2 linked regions of the Coturnix japonica genome follow. The protein of the gene in region 1 interacts with the protein of each later gene in a biochemical or structural test. Links are inferred from orthologs where the notes say so. Each region holds a gene or a part of one and is shown on either strand. Other genes may lie near its edges.

Region 1 (7,702 bases):
TTAAAAGATTTGGGGGAAGATGATGCCTTATTTTCTTGTGTGTTTATTGAAATGCAGGAAAACTACTTCCTGCTTGGGCCAAAAAAAAAAAAAAAATTAGAAAAAAATGGATTACTTCTGCTAGGAAATACAGCTTGTGAGATCAAACTGCATTAATTCAACAGAAAGTGCAGGTTTCATTTTGCAACACTTTCATTTCCACAGTTCTGACTGTTGCAGCACACAGGTGTGCACCTGGGAAAAACTGGGCTGCGTTTTTGGGTTTTATGCCATCACGAAGTTCTGCTGAAGTTATATACCAGCAGAGTGCAGTAGAACCCAACCTGAAATACAGCCAGAATGTGCAGTATGCCTGCTCCACTGTTTCATCATTGCCTACCATCACCATTTGTGTGGCAGAAAACTAGTTGAGCCTTGAAGCTGTGAGAATCTGCAACAATAAGCCAGACTGGTACAAACAGGGCTTGGAGAAAAGGTATTTTGAGTTACATCTGTTTCATGAAAAAACTGCTCCTTCAGCAAGTATACTGATTCCTGTTATAAAATATGAATGGTGAGCCCCCGTTCAACATCATCAGCCTGTAGTGCAACACAGCACTCTGTTATGCTAATACACACCAATTGACAGTGTTGCCTGATAATAAGTTGTCTCATTTAAAAACAGAAATGGAGCATTGTTAGCTTTTTCAAGAAAAAAGAAAAAATCATTTAAAATAGCTGAATTGGCCAGCATTAGCTTTCAGCTTTCAAAGGCCAGGAACAGCCATGATGAATTACATAATATTTCTTTCTTTTCCTCCCCATGCTTGTATTGGAATTCAGCTTCCTCCAGTGAATAAGATGACAAAGCTTGTCTTTCATTAGAAAAAGCAGCTACTACAAAAACAACACATACACACAGAATAAAATAAAGGAAAAGGGTATAATGCAATGATTGGATTCTCTTTGCAGTATATCACTATCTATTTCAGAGTGTACATGTCTGTGCAGGGGATATACCTTGCTTCCCTTTGAAAAAACAAAGCTGCTAAATCTTGTCTTTTGTTGTAAGTCCCACACTATGATGTGCAGACCTACTTTCTTCTTGACTGCAGGTCTAACCAACAAATGCCTGTTGTTGTGAGTGGAATGCTTTTCATACCCCATATGCATCTCTAGTGGCATATAGCCTGACTTGAGCTTTCTCAGCCTCATCCAAAGTCTAACTGCTGGAACTATTTTCCTCGATTTCAGCTGACTCTGGATTAGAAGCCTTAGAATAATCAAAGGCTAAAGATCATGCTCATCTCCCATCTTGACAGCATCTTAATGCTTTGTTTAAGCCTGTGTTTCTTTTATCACAGTATTCTTTAAAAGTAAGCAGAAGAGGACTGTAGGTGGGCATGACAATGAGGAAAGAGAGGTGGAAATAGGAGCACAAACAGTGAAAGATGTGAAGGCCAAGATTAATTTCATTCTTAAGTAACAGGGCAAATTAGCCAAAAACTTCCTCTAGGCCATTCAAATCATCAATCAATTCAAAACATTTTTGAGTCTTGGAACACTGGCCACAGGGTCGTCATAAAGCAGGAAGGAACAACTTCAAGCCTATCAAGTTGATATATGCTTGTTCTTGGTGGTAAAAAAAAAAGTCCTAGAAAATCCAGTGAGATGCAGGACGGCTTATTAAAAGCTATTGTTTGACGAGAGGCAGATTTTGCTGGTGGAAGTGTGCATCTAAGATTCATGGAGGTAGTGACAAAGGCATGATGGGCAAGAACTGGGAATATAACCTGTGTGTTTCGGAGAAGTGCTTGTTGTAATATGATGCAGAAGCTGAATCTGCTAAGTCAGTAAGGAAGGAAGCCAGAGTATATCTAAGTGAAGGGCGCAGGTATCAGTAAAGGCTCAAAAATGATGAGCTAAAAGAAATAATCTATACTTTGACAGCTGATGTTCCTGACAAACTCTATCCAGCTCCCCCAGGAGTAGATATATGAACCCTAGTGCCTTTTCCAAAGCCCAACCTCCTAGAGGTAATTGTGATCTGCCTGAGACCTGCAGCCTGCTGCTGTTCTCAAACACATTTTTCTACTCTGCGTTAGATGCTCTAAAAAGCTTCAACAATTATACTGTTACAGACTACTTGGCACTCACCCAGCCCAAAGGTGACTGCATTTCTAGCAGTAGAGGAAACTTCAGATAAAGAAAAACATACTCACTTCAGTGAAGGCCATAAAGTGAGTTTACATTTGTTGTAGTTTTAAGTGACTTAAGCCCTAGAAGTCTGAAATAAATGTGCATGTGTTTTAATAATGAAAGTGCTGTGATTATACTCTAGTTATGAAAAATTGAGGAAAAAAATCAGGAAAAAATTAAATGAAATGAACAAGTATGGTAGTGTAACAAGCCAAGGTAAACCAAGTTCCTTTCTTCCTAGGGTTTTTTACATTCCTGAGAGAAGGAATTAAGAGACTGAGTTCTCCGTTCTGCTGTATGCTTGCCATTTTACCTCAAATTGTTGCAACATAGGCTTGTGACACAAAAGCCTAAAAATTGCTTAAGTTAATAATAAGACAGGAAAGCATGTTGATTAGTTACCTTGCTCGGTTATAGCAGAGCAGGAATTAGATATAGACTACACTTTATTTGCCTTAGCAGTTTAATCTCACTGTCTGTTGCCATGCCTAACCTGTACAGAGATGAATGAAAAGCTTTCTGATGACCTGAAATACAGCTTCCACCCCCAATGCAGTAAATCTGCAAACTGGAGCTGTGTTTCATTAGATGTACTTTAAGGGTTCTTTATTTTTCTGCCCTCATGAGTTCAGTGGACATAGAATCCGATATCTCACTATCATTTCCTAGCTAGCTGTATAAATATAGTTAAACTGCATTTACTTGGGGTTGCTGTTTAGCTGCATTTTGTTTCGTAACATGCTCGGTTATTTCCAGTCCTCCTGACTTCAGTGGGAGCCTCAAGCTCTCACTTTTGCAAATCAGGCCTGCTTGTACCTTTGCTTTGGTCACTTCTGCTGTCTCTTTGGCACTCATCCTAGGAATCAAAGTGACCTCCTTGCCATCCCCTTATGCACTATGCAGAAGCAATGGAAAACCACTGCCACTTTTTCCTAGACTGGTATCTTTGACCATGATTCAGTGACATGCAGGGATATGGGAGGAGGATTCTTCATCTGTATCCCCTGGAGCTCTCATCACCCAGATGGCCCCATTTCCTCCCCTGCAGCCCATAGAGGTGTCTGCCTCCAGACCAGCCTTGTCTTGTCATGGTCTATGGAGATCAGAGCTAGGATGGAGCAGGGAGGAGAGGGACAGGCATGTCCTTGTGGATGCGGCAGCTGGGGCTGACAGTAACCACGTATGGCTTGGTGGGTTGATCTGCCATCCCCAGGCTTCACCACAGACCAGCCTCTCCATCCCCACCTCCTCCCCCCCACCCCCTTTTCAGCTGGGAATGAAACCAGCAGCAATTACTCAAGCCAAGCACGTAAATCTGGCAGATCCCATGGCCCTCATTTGACGCAGCTACGCAGTGCAATGTCTGGACGCCCAACCCACTTCCCTCATCCCCTCTTGTTTATTTGCCCTGCAGAAAACAGCAAAGTTACCAACTTTGCCAGCAGTGAGCTGTACCAAGTGGAGAAGGAAAGCGGGGTGCCAGGGAGCAGGAAGGACAGGGGAAGAGGAACGCCAGGGACAGGGATGCCAGGGTCAGGAGTGCGAGGTGGGTTTGCCTGCATTGCATGAGGAGCTGAGCTGCCCCGACTCAAGGCTGCAGAATGCCCGGGGCCGACCCTCTGTGGTTGCGGGGATGCCCTAGGGGCTGCCGCTGGTCCGGAGAGACCCCGCGGACCAGGTGTTACATAACTCCCGTTTCCCTTGCACCAATGCCCTTCCACCAACCGGCCGGGTGGGAGACAGGCTGAAGAGCCGCTTAATTTCAAGAACCGAAGCTTGTAATTATTATTGTTTATTATTATTATTATTATTATTTCTCCCACTTTGCGCTTCGACTTGCCGAGAAACCCCGCAAAGCCCCAGCTGTTTCAGCCTGAGGTCCCGTCCCGGAAGGAGCTAGCAGCTCAGCTATGGGCTCGCTTCCCTTGCGGCAGGGCAGAGGCTGCCCGGGGCTGGCTGCCCGGGGGGGGTGCGGAGCCGCAGGGCGCTGCAGCGAACCCGCCTCCGCCTGCAGCGCGGCTCCAAGCCCGGGGCGCCGTGGCGCTGTCCGCGGTGCTGAAGACGGACGCTGTCCGCTGTGCTGACGGACGCTGTCCGCGGTGCTGAACCGCCTCCCGTTCCCGCAGAGCCGCAGTACTCCCTGCTGACCTCCCCCCCGGCCTCCGTCCGCGGTGCCGAAGCGCCGCCGCAGCCCTGCGCGGTGCGGTGCGGTGCGGGAAGGGCGCTGCAGTGCCCTGGGCGGCTGCAGCCCTGCGCGACCCAGCAGAGCAGAGAGCCCCGCAGCACCCTGCTCCCAGTACAGGTTAGAAATGCGCTGCTTGCCCTTCTCCTCGGGCTCCCTGCCGCCTTCGATCGTGCCCGATACAGCGGAAACACAGAGCTCGGTTCCCTCCCATGGTTCCAGCCGGCGATAAGGCTGGCGGCGGCATTACCCCCCCTCTCCTCGACTTCCTCCATCCCTGTAGCAGCCCAGAGACAGGAGACAAAACGCCGAGCGCGTCCCCCTTTAAACAAATCCTTTTTTCGCTTCATTTTCGTTCATACAGCCCCCTCCCCTTGCTCAGTCGGTGGCCCGGTGGTCTCCCGCCCTTACCTCGGCTTGTGCAGCGCTCCGCCGGGCCGCCTCGGCGGGGTTGGTGTCTCGGTGCCGCAGCTGGGAGGCAAGGACAGCCGCTGCTGACCTCCTCGGGTCTCCTTCTTCAATGGACCGAGAGCCGTGCCCTCATCAAAGATGGCCGTCCGCTCCTACGTCAGCAGCTTTTAATAGCCCTCCCCGGAGGGGGGGGGGGAATGGGGGAGGCGGGAGCGGGCGGGGGGCAGAGCGGGCCGGGCGGGCGGGCTTGAGTCATCACCGCCGCCGCCGCCTCCCGCTCCGATCTCCTCGCCCCGCCGACAAACGGCCCCGCCGGGCCTCCTCCGAGCCTGGGGGCCGGGGGCTGAACCGCCCGGGGAGGGGGGAAGGGGCCTCCTGCAGCAACATGCCTCCGCCAAAGGGGTGGTCCGAAGAGGGTATCCCTCTGAAGTCCCCGGTACTCCATATATGGCCAATCTACGTGGGCTTCTATTTTTATGTGTGAATTCTTCCTTCTCTCCCTCTTTTTATGTTTCAGAGCATCCTGCCACGGGTCTGAGTGTGTTAATCTGATTATTCCCCTTCTCCTCCCCCCTGAAATAAGAGCACACAAACGCAAGGAAATCCACAGATAAGGACATGTGCTATAACCGATCATTTGAGAGACAGGTTTAGAAAAGGGAGAGAGAAGGGGGGAAAAAAAAAGCCCTCACAAAAAACCCAGGCATGTACGTGCATACATACAGCACAGAGAGAACAGACCGCTGCTGCCAAGGAGGAAAGCAGTGACTCTGTTCTGGGAAAAAGCCTGGCTTATTTATCATGGATTAATTAAAATATTTATTCAGAGCTTACCTAATTTGGAGCAAATGGAGCTGTCTGTAGTGTGATATTTAATGGAGAGGAAATCCTCTCATTTGTTACAAAACATCTTTCTGTAAAAGGTATCTCTTAACGGAGATTTTAATGAAGGATGGGGATTGCATCTGAAATGCGACACTCTTTCATAACCTCAGTTATCCCTTCCCTTTCATTCCACAAGCCTGCGCACGTTCGTGTATGGAACCATCCAGACCTACCCATGAGCAGAGGTGCCTCCGTCTGAGCCTCTCTTGTGAGCAGTCACTGAGCACTGGCTATGCTTAACTCTGACACTGTGCTAATGGCTTTTCTAAATAGTCTGCAGATGACGGTGTCAAAACATCAGTCTCATATTAGTGATAATTCTACCCTAATCATTATGTCTTTTTTTCCCTTATTGCCATGGCAGGGAAGACCGGAAGAGGGGGAAGGCTCTGCAGCTGTATTTTGGAGCACGTTTGTCTCATGTTGTGGTTGTATGGGGGTGGAGGAGAGAAAGGGGAGGGGAGGTGCGGGGGGGGGGAAGGAGAAAGAACTGCGGTGATTCCTCCTCCCCTGCTCTGTAGTTCCCCATAGAAAAACGTGATTGTAGATCGTGCTTTGCAATTCTCACCCTCTCCTACGAAAATATGTCCTTCAGTCTCGTTTGGAAGGAAGCAGTCAAAAGTTTGCTAAATATACAACAAAGGAATTCTCAGGGAAGAGGGGCTTCCTGCTGCAGTAGAGTATCTGATGAGCTGTGCACACAAAAACCGCAGGGAAGGAGAGAACCTGTCAGACTTAAGGGCTGTAAAGGCAGACAAGTAGAGAGAGATCAACGCTGTGCAGACAGCCCCCCTTCTAGGTGAGGGATCTGGATCAGCACCTTGAGCAGGACCTGGATTTAGCATCATAAATGACAGTATGGAAAGGCAAACCTTTTCTGCTCAACTCATATATGGGTTAACAGTAGCCAGCACTCCAATTAGGTATGCACTGCAGAAAGCAAGAGGAATCCCAGCGTGTGTCTCGGTCTGAAATTCAGGCAGTCCATGCGCATGCATTGTGCTTTGCAAGTTCTTAGTACACACAGAAAGTTAAGAAGAAATTTTCAGACAGCTTGTCTGGTAGGTGGTTTTGAAATGAAGTTCAATTTTTAAGAGAGCAATGCTAGTTCTTATTAATAATTCACAGTGACGGCAGAAAAGGAAAGCGAGAGAGAAATTATAAACTGTTATTTTGACTGAGCCACCAGCACTGCAAAATCCTGACTGAGTTTGGATTCAGCCAAATAACACTGCTGAGAAGAATTTCAGTCCATTGGATACCAACAGGGATGAATTTGGCTGCTTCTGTCAAATGCCTGTAAGGAAAATGCAGTGAAGGCAAAATAAAAAATAAAGAAGTCATGCAGCATAACTTGGGGAAAGAGTGCTCAGGGATGGTCAGAGACAGAAGAAGGAGGGGGTAGGAGAAGGGAGGGAGGTAGGTGTCTACTGAGAAAACTGAGTTCAATTTCAGATTAATTTTCAAGCTCTGCTGCAGCAGAAATCGTGTCTTCTAATAAAACAACATAAGGCAGAATCACTAAATAGACCATGAACATTGCCCATTAAGCTCAGTAGGGACAAATTCCTCTCCTACAGTTGGTTTGTGTGTTTTTTTCTAAATGAATAAGGGAGCAGATACCTTTTGTGTTGCTCAGGAAGGTGTGTGCCTCTATCCTGGGAGATGCAGAGGGGGGGCAGCCTTTTGCACCGCAGCACCAGGATTTCTGTTGCAATAAGCACTACTAAGCAATTTCAGCTTGTTCTCTAGCATCATTTGGGGATGCTTTGTTTCTTAAAAAAATGAGGGGAGAGGGGGAGGGGGGAGTTTATTGACTGTCTCTAATAGTATATAAACACTCACTTAATGCTGTGTGAAGGAGAGCTGTGATAAGTGAAGCCTAAAAATGAAGTAGGAGGAGAGAGAAAACTAGAATTTGCTCTAAGAATGATTCAGCTCCCTCCTTATTATTCAGGCAAATATTCAGTAAGCTGAACAACTAGTACCTGTGGGCACAGCCTGTGGATAATGACACAGGGAACATATTTTGCTACATGAGGGTGG
Region 2 (6,558 bases), on another chromosome or scaffold:
GGGACCGTATTAAGTCCTTCACTGCCAACATTTCCCTGAGAAGTCATACATCTTGGTCTATAAATCATGATGACAATGCTACAGAGCTCTGACCTGTCTTGCTAAAGAGCGCCCCTAATGTGAAATGCAATCATGCAACCACACTGGTTGTGTTCACTTAGTGAACTGTCACAGTAACAGATAAATGACCAACAGACATCTGTGTTGATATCGGTTGGTGTGGAGTGGATCTGACTATGGGCAGAGGTAAAAATACCTTTTTGCTGTCATTGTCACTTCTCTGGCAGAAGCAGTGATTTTAAGCTCTCAAGTTTCCCCTTGTTTTCTTCTTGTCATCCCACACAGCAAATCAGAACCATGACTGTATTTCAAATCTGTGCTGCTTGTACTGCCACATAAACAGTACAAGGGGGCACTTTCTACAGAGGGCAATGAAATGTCCTGAGTGGAGAAAAAAATAAAAATGCCACAGAAACCAGATGGCCAAGTAAGGTAATATTTTGTAGTGCTTTACTGGATCACAGCCCCCACTACATATGTGAGGGTCAGGAATTTTACCTTGAAGGGGCCAAGAATTTGCAAAGACATCTCAAACCTACTAACAGCCAGGCAATGACTGCTGCCAAGACTAGCAGCAAAATCCCAGTGCTGGCAGCACAGCAGAGGAGAGACGTCCACTGTACAGGCACAGCAAGCTTCTGCAGACTCCCTTTAACTGCAGGTCACGGAATGAACATATTCTGCTTCAGAATAACCTGCCAAACTAATTTTGTATCATCCCAATCCTCAAGAGTTTCACAAACTCACAGACTCCTACACCACATAACATAACTATCTTTCCTTGCTTGCTAACTCATCTCAATAGCTTTCTAAAACACCTTCCTGCTTTCTACCCCTCTGACTAGCAAGGCTCCAAGGAAATGCATATCTGATTGTCAGATGCCACTAGAGACCCAGGAAGCATGTTCAGAGATTGCCTCAGAGATGGGAGAACTCCCAGAAGGATCATGAATGCATCAGTTGTGGCTTTACCACTGGATGGGAAACCAGCGTCCAAAAGAATCTTCACTTCCTATGATATGATATATCTGCCCTGGAAGTAGCTGTTTTCCCTCTTTAAAACCATTTCTGAGTTAAAAATACATCTCTGCATAATGAATGAACATTTTCTGTTTTTTTACCAGTCCTCAGAGCCTTCTCCTCTATCCAGCAAGGGGCAAATGTCAGGCCCAGTTTGCTAATATACTATGTCAGATGGCAGAAGAGCTGGCACCCTGGGCAGCATCTTGCTGCAGACATGAGATACCCAGACTTCACCAACAGATCCTTCCTGAACTTGACTTCTCAGCAGCTCCTATTATAATGCAAATCCTGACCCTGCCACGCAGGATTATGTTAGAATGAATGTCTGCCCAGATTAAATGCTGTTTGGTACAAGCACACACTGCTCCCAACTCCAGCTCGTCACAACCCCACAATAAGAGTATGCATCTCAGCTGCTACTCCGCTTCTGCAACCCTCCACACCCCTTGCAGTCTCCAAGCTGTTATTTCTCTTCAGTGGGCTGCCTGATCTCCAACTGCACAGGCTGTTTTTACCATGCAGATCCAGGTTCATTTCCGTGTAAGCAACCTTACAGTGTAGATAACCTATATAAAACCTGCCCTCCTCAGGAGTGTTTCTCTTTCAGATAGGCACAAACAGTGATGAAATGCAATACCATTACCACAAGAACATTTATTTTCTTATGTAGGATCAAGTTTGATCACACAAAATAGAAGGAGATGAAGATACCTTTTATCTTCAATTTGGCCTTCATATTCAAAACACCACAATGAGAACTTCGGATATCACTCTATCCTTAACTACGAGATTTTGCTCCCTTGGTGAGAAAATAGTTCATTCCTTGCAAAAATGGAAAACACATTTCCATGCCACATAAAACTGTCCTGCAGTAGATGTCTCTACCATGTGCTGAAGCATATGGTATCAGTAACACTACGCATGAGACATCTTCTCAGTCCCATGGCTACAGTTTACCTCTTCCCCCTGCTCGCCCCCCACCCAAAAAAAAAAAAAAAAAAAAAAATTAAAAAAAAAAAAAAAAAAAAAAGGAAAAATGCACACATCAGGTATAGTAAAATAGAGGGAACAATCAGAAACACATCGTGGCTTCTTCCAAGGCCAAGCACCTCTCAGAGACAGCCTGTATTCGGTATTGTTCCAATGACAATCTCACTTTTTCTGAGCATTTGGGACAAGCAGCCCAGTAAGGTAACGCAACTGTGACAGGAAAAAAAAAAAGGAATCTCACTCCAGAACACTTTTGTGTTGGATTTCATTTCTCTCCCCTCACTGCTGTTTTTTTCTGCTTCTCATCACTGAGTTAAAGAGGCTCATCACACATGGAAGGAAATACATTAAAACCATATTAAAGGTCTGTCCCCTAACTACATCAGTTGTGAGGGAACACATTATTTTTTTTCCTGCTTACTGCAGCAATATTATTAACAAATATCACTTCCCAAATGCTAGGTCACAGAAACCAAACTTCTCTTCAGTAGCCATTGGTCACAATCTACCCAAAGTCCAGGGGAAGGATGGAGGAGAGGCTCCCACCCACCAAAAAATGTCAGTCTTTGGGAGTCCCCTGATTAATTCTTCCTACTCTCTTTGCCACTGCTGCCTCAGAAGACAGTACAAAGCAAGACGGCACTTATGCACAGTACAGCAGGACACAGCTGGTAGGGTCCCAGCACAGCCCGAGTCCTTCCAGCACATCTGCCGTGGGAGGCATTCCTCCCTCTATGACATGGGGCTTTGGTGTCTGCTTGTTGCTGCCCTCTCCTGCTCAGATTCTTCCAGCACTTGGCTCTGGGATCACGAATCTGGCTGGCATGTCCCTCTGCAGCCACCAAATAGCAATTCCGACCGCAGCCCCACCGGAGGCTCTCAGCAGACCATCACGTCTTGCACCGAGAGGGAAAGGGCGATGCGAGGCCCCCCACGTGCAGGCTGCACTTACCTCCTAAGGCTTGCTTCATCACAAAATCCATGGCGATGGCTCAGGGGCGCTGCCCAGCTTCACACCTCGCATGCACGGAGACCGGCAATCCGCGGCGGGCAGCCTGCGGGGAGGGGCACAGACACCAGAGGAGCGGTTTCTCCCGGAGGAAAAACGGCGGCTGTTTGCTACCACCTTCCCCACCGCCTTCCTTCCCAGCCAAGTTTCCACCCGCAGACCCTCGGACTCCAGCCCTACAGGACAAGGCAGGGGGATGCCAGGCAGTGCGAGGGTGGAAGGGGGGGAAGGCAAGAGGGCAGGGGAGCAGTGATGGCCCGAGAGTGCGGGTGGCCGGCAGCGCGGACGAGAAAGCGTTAAAGCTCCTAACTTTCTCTCTTCCCCGCCCGCACCTCCCGCCACCTGGCTTCCGGAGGGGGCATTTGAAGGTGAAACGCTCCGCGTGTGCCCGGCGGGGCGAGCGGGTAGGATGAGCGGCGGGGATGCAGCCGTGGCGGCGGGACGCGGGGATGCGACACCTCTCGCCGGGGATCCCGGTGCACTGCCAGCATCTCCCCGGGAGATGCTCCACCAGAGCCGGGGACGGACCGGCGGCGGGCGCAGCCCGGTATCCCCTCCGCGCAGCCTGCTGCCTCCCTTCGTTGGCATCGGCTCCGGTTCCCAGGTGCCATTAGGGCTGCACCCACCGCCGCCTGCCCGCAGCTGCCTCTCCTCGCTGCCCTCCCGCACGCCGCCGGCACGCACCCTTCGGCACGGCACGGCACGGCACCCTCCGTCCCGTCCACCCCGTGCCTGTACCTCGCTGGCTACGTGGGCGCTGTGCGGTGCTGGACAGGTGCTGCGGACCGTTCCGCTGCTAGCGGCTCCGACCGGCACCCATGTGCCAGCGGGCAAGTTGTGGATGTGAAGTGGAGGAGAGAGAACGAGTCCGAAGCTTCTCCCTACTTTTCCCCCGCGCTCCTCTTTTTATCACGGGATTTCCGGACCATCCCACCTACACGGTCCCTCCTTCCTCCTCCCCCGGCTGCTGAAGCCGGGCTCTCGCCCTCCCCCTGCTTCTCGCTCCCCCGCCCCTTCCCTGTACCGCCCTCGCTCCTGGGCTCTGGCCGCGGAGGAGGTCCCCGGCTCTGCCAGCCCCGCGGAGGGGTGCGCGACTCCATGTGTGCACCCCCTGCCTCATCTCCCGCTGTCTGCCTGCACCAGGGACCCTGCCTCTTCGCCTGGCGGAGATGGGGGAGGGATTAGCCCTCCGCTGTATTTTGCCAGCGCTTCCTTGGTTATCCTCAGGGGTGTGTGGGAAACGTCTGCAAATACTCCTTCCTGCAAAAGGTGGGAAGGTGTGGGAGTGATCCGCGTCTTCCGCTCTGGGTCATTCCCGGACATCTCCGCTCGTCCCCTAGGTCCTGAAAAGAGTTGTCAGGCAGCGAGGAAGACAGGGAGCGAGCAGCGCCTCGTCCTCTCTTCTCCTTCGGCTTGGATTGTACTGTGGCCGGACGGACCGCCGGCTGAGCTCTGCGCTCCCTCCCTGACAAGGTCCGTCTGTATCCCAAGGGAAGATGAGGGGAGGGCGGGGGCAAGGAAGGGAGGAGAAGGACCCTCCTCCTCGCGGTCGCCTGATGAAGAGCGTGAAGGCTGCGGTCCGCTGTCCAGCCCGTGTTCAGAACGGGTTTTGAAGGAGAAGAGGAAGGAGAGGATCAGAGCAATACTCCACCCCGGGTACTGGGCATGCCGACAGCCCTCCCGGGGCTGGGTGTAGCGGGCACGAGTTCTGCAGCGGATCGGTCCTCCTGTCACCAGCAGGAGAGGTGGAACGCTACCTGTGCAAACCGTATGGAGCCGAAGTGGTCGGGGGAGGACGGGGACTGCGGAAAGGGGGAGCCCCGGCCGGGGGAGCAGCGCGATGGTGTAATCGGGACACGGTAAAATAGTTTCACTGGTTGACTTCATCTGAAAGTCAGGGAGGGCCTCGTGGGGAAAGGCAAGCAGGTCTGGCAGGCACGGCAAAGAGCCTGCTCACTGTCCAGCAGTGCCGGCTACCGTGGCTTCTCGGTGCCTGCTGCACGCACAGCAAGGCATGCTTCGGTGCTCAAGCCAGCATCCTCCCACCTGGGTCTGACCCAGATTGCTCCTAGAAAGTGATCTCTCAGACAGACCCTAATATCAGCCTAGGAAGCTCAGCTGAATAGAGATGTGCTTTGCTTGTACTGACGGTTTTCAGAAAAGTAAAAAAAAAAAAAAATAGTAAGAAGCAAGAAGAAGGTAAACAAATAAATAAACCCTCTTTTAATCCCTAACTCACATGCAAAGGTGCTTTATCGTGGTCTGGTCTCCAGACTACCTACTTTTTCCAGATGATTTTTGCAGCTGCCAGAGAAACACAAAACACCTGATTCATGGCACTCACCACTACACAGCTCATTTTTCCTCATAAGAACTAGGCACCAGACTATAAACCTCAATGAGACACAGATATTCTCAGATTCAGGATTTCTCTGCCACTCCACATATGAACTTCCAAGCAACTCTTAACTCTCACACGATGTACCTTCACAACAAAAAATCAAATGCTTTTAAGCTTGATTTTGGTGTCTTCTGTTCAGAAGGCACTCTAAACTATCAGTCAGGAAAGATCCCACCAGTATTCTCACCATCATCACACAGGTTTCAAATACTGAGAAAAGGAAGGGCATAGTAAAAAAGAAGTGACGTAGTACATAGAACTTTGTCAAATAACAGATTCAGAAATAATTCTGGGGAACTCTTTTGCTTCTGAAATGGAACACAGTAGGCCTGACACAACTTTTGCTCATCATGCTGAGGCACTCATCTGCATGGATGGGGATCCAATACAAGATTTATCAGAGATTCGTGCCTTTGGCAACAGGAGAAATAGCATCTTGCTCAGCCATAGCAATGATAAGAGCAATGCTCCATGGATATTTTTTTTCTGATGGCATAGATTATGGCCGTAACTTTTTATGAATGTGAAGCTGGCAATAATGCAATTTTAGTATGTTTAGTGGGCGAGGACAGAAGACAGAAATAGCGGTGATTTCTGGGAAGGGGAAGGTGCAGATGCGGGTTATTTGTCAGCACCATGGACAGAGGAGCGCCGCCGCGTGTGGAACAAAATTGGGTCTGCTTTGCACTGCGACTGATAAACACCACGCTCCCGATTCTGGGCACAGTCTAATTCTTCCCTTGCAGAACCAGAGCAGTAGGCATCCGCTCTGCTATGTCATCTGGTGCAGATGAAGGACACAGAAAACTACAAGCAAAATTCTCCGTGGAACTTTATCCAGAAATCTTTCTGTTTACGGATGTCTCTTCAAGAAGGTGGAGTAAGCCGAAAATCAGTTACAGCCACATTTCTCATATTATATACATATATACATATACATATACACATATATAAATAAAATACGTACGTATGTATATATAGATCTCTAAAAAAAGAAAAGATCTGCTTCAAGGGACAATAAAATTTTTTTTCAAGATATTTAATCTCAACATCTTTAAAATAAATCTTTGGTTAT

Evidence for each region. The genes of interacting proteins can lie anywhere in the genome.
Region 2: the proteins of SNAP25 (region 1) and CPLX1 are reported together in a solved structure, tested with the Homo sapiens proteins (2 studies listed by BioGRID, with this or other methods). The link is inferred for Coturnix japonica from reciprocal best matches to the Homo sapiens genes SNAP25 and CPLX1.

What each region holds. Positions count from the first base shown.
Region 1 is NC_029518.1:11,887,212-11,894,913, forward strand, and holds the start of SNAP25 (synaptosomal-associated protein 25), read right to left. Parts: upstream 4,933-7,702; 5' UTR 4,772-4,932; intron 1-4,771.
Region 2 is NC_029547.1:46,350,266-46,356,823, reverse strand, and holds the start of CPLX1 (complexin-1), read right to left. Parts: upstream 3,129-6,558; 5' UTR 3,057-3,128; coding exon 3,026-3,056; intron 1-3,025. UniProt on the Homo sapiens protein: Positively regulates a late step in exocytosis of various cytoplasmic vesicles, such as synaptic vesicles and other secretory vesicles.